Linked DNA regions of Oryza sativa Japonica Group. The main gene of each other region encodes a partner of the protein of the gene in region 2 in a complex. Links are inferred from orthologs where the notes say so. Each region holds a gene or a part of one and is shown on either strand. Other genes may lie near its edges. The genes, in order: SNF1-related protein kinase regulatory subunit beta-3 and SNF1-related protein kinase regulatory subunit gamma-1-like.

Region 1 (3,924 bases), on a different chromosome or scaffold from region 2:
CAGCACATACAAGTATTTGAAACAAAAAAAATGAAATGAAGTAACCAAACTTTAATGGATAAACAGAGACATAGTAATCAGTACATCATCATGGTAGACCGTAAGAGCCCACTAATCCAAAATCCAGGTACCATGCTTAAGTATTACCCTCCATCCCCAAATTTAAGCATTTTTAGCTATGAATCTGGACATGTGCTTGTCTAGATTCATAGCCGGAAGTTGTTATATTTGGGACGGAGGTAGTTGAATAAAGCTTACATGATCCACAGTTCTTAAGTGGTGATTAATATATAGAAATTTATGCACTAAGGAAAACTTCATATGCAGTGACTATACAAAAAGTCAGTAGCAGAATGTCATGCTATGGCCCATGAGGTGGTGCATAAATGGCAGGGCCAGCAGCGTAGATGATTGCTAAAGGACTATGTTGTGTAGTTGCATCCAAGCATATCTGTTGGGAGCATTTAGACAATCCTTTAATTTTCCATTGTTAGGGGCCTCATAAAGAGAAATCATTTCCTATACATGGTAAGAAATCAAGGATAAACAAAATTCCCTTGTAAATTGATCCAGTTCCAATGCAGAGGAGGAAATAAGCAAGAATTCAATCAACCTCATCTGGTGATCCCCAACATGTTCTTATATCTCTTCCATCATATCCCCTCCCTCAAATTCAACACTGCTGCCTGAATCATCAATGTTCACAGCAGTGCATGCCTGCCTTATACCATAACAATCTGCCTTCTCAAACTACTCTCCTCCTCTCCTAAGCGAGATCAGTGTGAAGAGATACCGAAAACTGATGTCTGTTATTGGTACGGAATCCCTAATTTGTTTTTATTCATTTGACTTTGATCTAGTTTGGTAAATCTGGTTTTGCTATGTGTTTATTAAATGCGCCCTTCCATTTATTCGTTTCCTTTTGCTGGCACCCCATGAACGTAATTCATCAATACCATCCTTGGCTGTGCATGATAGCTGCATAGGCCTCTTGCATAAAAATGGGCCAATATGGAGTGAACTTGAGGCTTAGCTTGCTCTGAATCTTGAGTTTTGGAGTTTAGTGATGAAGTAGAGGTTAGAGCTTTGGTACGGTTAGGGATGCCTTTCTTCCAAGTATAGGGGTAACTGGTAAGCGTTGGAAGAAGACAGAATATAGGAAAGTGTCATTTTGTTTGCGGGATATGGATAATAACGTAAGGCAACACGTTATTTAGTTTGGGGACTATGGGTAAAGATTTTGGTGGGATCACTGCATGGAATTCATTTATTACGACGTGACGTGTGGGATTGGGCCCTTGAATTGGCGTGTGTGAGCATATTGACAAATATGTACAGGTTTAGTTGTGACATGCAGTTATCGTTAGGAAATTGGGTCTTAAATCTGTACATTTCTTTGACTTTAGTCATATATTTTGTATATGATAAGAACACAAATAATTCAAAAATTCAAGTACTCCACCACAGCCAACTATAAATCCCAAGCACAAAAATAGCACGAGATAGTCTTCCTTCCATGTAAAGTGTAGCATCTAATAATAGGTACAGATCTAAAATAAGCTAAATCATATAGTTCTTCAAGCATTTCAGAGCAAATTGAAGTACACGCAAATCCGCACAGAAGTAAACTGCTCATGTCCATCTCAGTAACTACAATTCCAGCAGCTACATTTCCCAACTACCCAGATTGATCATCAAAAGCCACAAATAATCAGGTGGGACTAGTCTTTCACTCACCTTAGGATGGAGAGATTGATGAAGCAAACCACGCAAAGGCCACCCGAAGACTGCTTCCTCAGCCACCTGCGACCAAAACTAAAAATCAACAGATAAAAGTGAGCTTGCCGCACACACAGAGGCTCCATTTCGAAAGGCGAAATCACAGGGCGAGCGAGGCAAAGGGGGAAGGAGGCGCGGCATGGGGGCGGCCGATAGCGGGGATTTCTGGTAGAGGAGGAGCAGCAGCTGCTGCTGCGGAGACCTAGGGTAGGGCGGCGGAGAGCTAGGGTTCGGTTCGGGGGGGCGGCAGATGAGAAGACGACCACTACCGAAGCGGCGGAGTCCGGCGGCGGCCATAGGGGAGGCACGAGGAGGAGAGCACGGCGGCGGGGCGGCGATCTAGGGTTTGTCAGCGGGCGGAGCCGCAGAGGGCCGAGGGGGGCGGAGGCGGCGGCGGCTGGGAACGGGAGGGATGCGAAGCGGAAGGAGGAGATGGGAGGGGGGGGAGGAAGGGAGGATGGATGGCGGCGGCGGGCGGCGGCGGGGGGAGTGGTGAGCTCACCTGGTTGGCGGCGGGCGTCGCGCGTGGTGAGGAGGCGGAGGAGGACGACGACGAGGAGGAGAATTGGGGGTGGCTTGGGTACTTCCATCCGATTTACCGTCGTTTATTACAAAGAGTGGTATTTAAGCTTAAGCTCAGGTAAGGTGAGGCTTTTCGGTTAGTGTTAAGTCTGTGTTCTTCTCTTTCTTTTCAAACCCACCTCTCTTTTTTTAACCACGTATATTTTTTAAATTAATAAACGGTATATTTTCTAAAAATATTTTATAGAAAGATCGCTAAAATAATCGTATTAATCTTTTATTAAGTATTTTTAGTTAATACTTAATTAATTACGTATTATTAATAAGTAATACCGTTTTTGTGCGAGAAGATGGAGTTCCTAACTCCACCTGCTGAACTCAGCATGAGTTAAGCTCGCAAGTCACAACATAAGAGCGCAAGTTTACGGTAGAGGTGATTGCTACATCTAATATTATTCACATTATCAATTAATTAATTGGAAAGCAATTTATGCTACGCATTGCCTCTAATTTACTAACCCCAATACATAAGTATTTATTTTATTCGCTCTCATCCAATCAACATCAAGATAATAAGTATCAAGATAGTAGGTAGGATTGTTCTTTGATTTATAGTATCATAGTATCGGTATTACTATACATAACTTTTATATAAAATATATAATATTTTGTATAAATTAAAGCATATAATATCAATTCTGATAAATTTAATTGGTTTTATGTAAACTTCAGTATTATTTTCAATCTGTCTTATTTTAAATAATATTTGGTAGGTTCACAAGGATCGTAGTATCGGGCTGCTACCTAAAATTTTGTATGATCGTATAAAAATGAATAATAAGATTGAGATATTATGAAAATTAGGATACTACGTAGGATCGATATTGTTTCAGCTTGATAGGATTGTAGTATCACAGAATACTAAGATATAGATCAGGATACTGACAACTTTGATCAACATCACTATTTTCCATTTCTTCCTTAAAGTTTGTGAAAAGAGTATGGCTGTGTTCGATTAAGCTACATATTACAGCTGTTGGGCTGCTGTTGGCTGTATCAACAGTCCGAACACACCCTCTCTCTTGCATGAGGGGTGGCTCATCCTCTCTGTTCTCTCCTCCACCTCACCATTCAAGCTTAGGTAGGAGTATCATCTAGGTGTTTATACTTAGATGTTTTATAGTACATAATCTTAGTAGGCATGTTCCGCGAAGCCGGACTCTAGTTCTTTACCTGCAGGAACTAAGCAACAGCTGGCTTGTTGCAGCCAAATAGACCCAATATTTATTTGAAACATTAGAAAATCAGTGCGTCAATTGGCACGCCTATATTTTATATCCCGTTTATGTTGTTTAATTAATTTTTTACATTTCGGTATTGTAGATGGCCAAATAAGTTTATTTTCTCGTATCAAATAATGAATATAAGAAAGTGATACTACAATAACAAATGTTGAATATTAGTCATCAAAGAGAGATAAAATCATTTTTAATAAAGAAGACTAACCAACTAAATAATTGGTGGATTTATTATCCTAATGTGTGACCTAGTTTTGAGTCGAAATGCAAGACTTTTTTCTAAATAAAACCGTTGTCGTTTTGAACATAATTAATTAAATAAAGG
Region 2 (3,924 bases):
GATGTATTTTACACTGCAAAGCGGTTGACCTACTTTTATGTAGTGATGTAAGTGGCCTATCTCACTACCCGCATAAAAACACGTTTACTCGTTCATTTCTCACACGTTTACCCTTGAACCCCCGGGATCGGTGGCGGCGAGGGCGGGGGGAGGAGGGGAGAGGAAGGCGGTGGCTTGGAGGTGGAGTGCAATAGTGGCACGCGAGGTCGTCACCTCGCCAAGGTCGCCGAGGGCACCGTCTCGCCGAGGTCGCCGCCCGCTGCCTGCCTGGCTCGCCCGCGGGAAGAGAAGATGAAGAGAGGGGAGAGGAAAGAAGAGAGGGAGAGAGAAGAAAAGGAGTGAGGATGAGAAAGAAGAGAGAGGGAAGAAGGGAGGTGAGGCTGACATGTGGGACCCGTGGGGGCCCCACTATTTTTAATTATTTTTTGTGTGTAGCTAACATGTGGGGCCTGGCTTTTATTATTTTTTGGGATAAAATTGCCACGTAAGCGCCACGTCAAATGCCACATGAGACGAAGATCAAGTCAAACCAGCCACGTCAGCCAAAACCGCCGAGGGACCTCGTTTGTACCAGTTTTGACCGTTCAGGGACCGATGATATCTAGTTTTTGGTTTAAGGATGAAAATCAGATTTGGTGTAAAGTTAAGGGAACTCCAATAAATATATTCCACTTTTATATGTGTCCTGGTATATGTGGCGGACTATTTCAACCGTGGGCCATATTATGTAGGCGGCCTAGTAAAAAAGAATAAAATTATATACTCTCTCTGTTTTTTAATAGATGACGCCTTTGATTTTTAAATGTACGTTTGATCATCATCTTATTCAAAAAATTTTATGTAAATGTATAGATATAAATCATGCTTAAAATACTTTGAGTGATAAAACAACTCACAACAAAATAAATTATAATTACGTAAATTTTTTGAATAAGACGAATGGTCAAACGTGTAATAAAAAGTTAACGGCGTCATCTATTAAAAAACGGAGATAGTAATATAATATAATATAATAACGAAAACGCCACCCCTCGCGCGACGTGGCCCCACCCAAGCGCATACGTGGCACCGCGCCCCCATGGCCGCGAGGCACCGTAGTACTAGTACTAGCTAGCAATCGAATCCATCTCCCTCCTCCTCCTCCTCCTGGATTGCCGCCGCCGCCCACGGTTTCCAGCAATCGCCGCGGTTCGCGCCGCCGCCGCCGAGCGGAGCAGCGCCCCGATCGATCCCCTTCCCCTCCCGCGAGCAACCGACGCCGGCGGAAGTCCCAGCTGCTTCCGCCACTTCGCCCGGTGAAGCATCCGTACTCACGCTCATCCTCTTCCTCATCTCTCTTTGCGGTCTTTACTACCCACTACGCCTAACCCCCTTTTCTTTTTTCTTCTCGGATTTCGTTAGCCTTAGCTTCTCTTCCAGATCCGCAAGCAATTTTCTTGAATTGGACCTAACCAGAGTAAGAGTAGCAGTTTGTTAGGATTGGATTGGGAGTGTTAGCCCCTGATTAGTTGACAGGAGTAGATTAATAGTGTACCTCCGTTGAACTTGTGATGAACTTTGCTAATATATGCCAAAGTGGCTTGTCGTGATTGGGTTAGTTATGAGTATCTACTGTGCCATGATTAGATTAGATGCGTGTCCAGATTGCTGCCATCTACTGGGATTAATGTTTGAGTGAGTTTTGTTTTTTTTGTTTTTTGTGTAGAAATGGATCGACCTGATGAAACCGTGAAATTCCCAAGCTGTGATGCGTATTTTGACACTATACAGTCCAAGAAGAAGCTGCCCCTCTCTTTGCAAGAATCGCTCACTGCTGCCTTTGCTCAGATTCCTGTCTCGTCTTTTCCTGATGTTCCTAATGGCCGAGGTACACACGTCTGCAAGACAAAATTAACTAACTAGTTGTCCGCGCCATGTATTTTTTTGATCCCTCACATTGCATTGCAGTGATTGAAATTCCAGGAGACACTTCCGTTCTTGACGCTGTGAGAATTCTCTCCAAACACAACATTAGGGCAGCGCCAGTGCTAAATCCGGAATGTGGAGCTCCGGCTGATTGGAAAGGGAGGTACCTTGGCATCATTGATTACTCGGCTATCATCCTCTGGGTTCTAGAAAATGCTGAGATTGCCGCCGTTGCTCTATCAGCTGGGTCAGCAACCGCAGCAGGAGTTGGAATGGGTGCTGTCGGTGCAGTGGGAGTGGCAGCATTGGGTGCAACTGGTCCTGCAGCTGTTGCTGGCTTGACTGCCGCTGCAGTAGGGGCTGCTGTTGCTGGTGGGTTAACAGCAGAAAAGGGTGTGGCAAAGGATGGACTAACTGCTGCTGATCATTTAGGAGAAGATTTCTACAAAGTTCTGCTTCAGCAAGAACCTTTCAAATCAACTACAGTATGCATTTTACTCTATGATGAATTATTATGCATATTTGGATTTTTTTTTCCTTTTTGTTAAATGTCGATCATTTATAGAGTCCAGTCAGTCTCAAATTATTTGGTATATATTTTACCTTGAACCACTGTTCTGCTGTGTGGCTACACCGAAGTTTGGCTATCCTAGTTACAATATATGCCGCAGCTTGGCGTGATTGAAAACTTCCTGTGATTTCTTAGCTGCAACTTATTGTTGCTAATAATAGTTTGGATATCTGTCCTCTTTGCCTCATTTGAATATTGCATGATGATCTTCTGATGTAAATCCTGCTAACCTTCATATTTTTTTCTCATTATTATAGGTTCGATCAATTGTAGAATCCTACCGCTGGTCTCCTTTTGTCCCCATTACACTGGACACTTCAATGCTTACTGTATTACTGTTGCTATCCAAGTACAGGTTAAGGAATGTCCCAGTGATTGAGCCTGATAAGCCAATTATTAAGAACTTCATTACTCAGACTGGTGTTGTTAAAGGACTTCAGCAGTGCAAAGGAAGGGATTGGTTTGATTATATTTCAGCGCTCCCTCTCTCGGACTTGGGACTTCCATTTATGTCACTTGATGAGGTAATTGTGTCTCCCTAATCCAATTCTTTACTAATGAGAAATCATGTCTGCCTACATTATCAAGATAAAAGTTATATCTCAAGCTGAAACATGCTACAATGTAATTTTTTTTCTCTTCACTTTGCAATAAACTGGTAGTTGAACAATTTTGTGCTTTCTTCAGGTTATCACTGTTAACAGTGGTGATCTAATCTTGGAAGCTTTTAAGTGCATGAAGGACAACAAAATTGGTGGTGTGCCTGTAGTAGAAGGTCCCAACAAAAAACTTGTTGGCAGTGTGAGCATAAGGGATATTCGCTTTTTGTTACTTAGGCCTGACTTGTTTTCGAATTTCAGGTATCAAACCATCCGGCTATTTGTTACCGCGTGAGTCATTTTCAAAATTTTGCATTTCCATGTTCCTAATGATAAATCTTCCATACAGGCAACTTACTGTCATGGAGTTCATGAAGACCATAGGTTCCACCGTTTCTGATTCAGGGAACGGCCTGGTGAAGCCACCTCTCACCTGTTCGCCTGACGCTTCTCTTGGCAGCGTGATTGACAGCATTGCATCAAGAATAACCCACCGGATATACGTCGTGGACGGTGACTTCGAGGTTGTTGGTGTCGTGACACTGCGAGACGTGATCTCTTGCTTTATCTATGAGCCACCTGGTTACTGTGACAACTATTTGGCATCAGCCATGGATAAGCTTGAGGAGAAAGGTGCAGGTTCTGTGGACACAAGTTGAGCCTTTTTCTGTAACGCGAACACCAAAATAACAGACTGAATTAGGGAGCAGTAGCAACTCTGATGTATTCAGGTTTAATTTGTGGTGTTGCTGCAGTGAAAGTGTGTAGAACAAGAGTGATGCTGTTGCTCCATGGTCTCTTAATGTAGTTTGCTTGGTGTTACTAAATTACTATATAGGGAGAAGTCAA

Evidence for each region.
Region 1: SNF1-related protein kinase regulatory subunit gamma-1-like (region 2) and SNF1-related protein kinase regulatory subunit beta-3 share a complex: the UniProt entries of both Arabidopsis thaliana proteins name them as parts of the probable heterotrimeric complex. The link is inferred for Oryza sativa Japonica Group from reciprocal best matches to the Arabidopsis thaliana genes AT1G69800 and AT2G28060.

The regions. Positions count from the first base shown.
Region 1 is NC_089043.1:16,341,156-16,345,079, reverse strand, and holds the start of SNF1-related protein kinase regulatory subunit beta-3, read right to left. Parts: upstream 2,380-3,924; 5' UTR 2,282-2,379; intron 1,816-2,281; 5' UTR 1,738-1,815; intron 1-1,737. UniProt on the Arabidopsis thaliana protein: Regulatory subunit of the probable trimeric SNF1-related protein kinase (SnRK) complex, which may play a role in a signal transduction cascade regulating gene expression and carbohydrate metabolism in higher plants.
Region 2 is NC_089035.1:23,394,241-23,398,164, reverse strand, and holds the start of SNF1-related protein kinase regulatory subunit gamma-1-like, read left to right. Parts: upstream 1-1,040; 5' UTR 1,041-1,306; intron 1,307-1,705; 5' UTR 1,706-1,707; coding exon 1,708-1,867; intron 1,868-1,947; coding exon 1,948-2,390; intron 2,391-2,733; coding exon 2,734-3,000; intron 3,001-3,163; coding exon 3,164-3,336; intron 3,337-3,424; coding exon 3,425-3,734; 3' UTR 3,735-3,924. UniProt on the Arabidopsis thaliana protein: Regulatory subunit of the probable trimeric SNF1-related protein kinase (SnRK) complex, which may play a role in a signal transduction cascade regulating gene expression and carbohydrate metabolism in higher plants.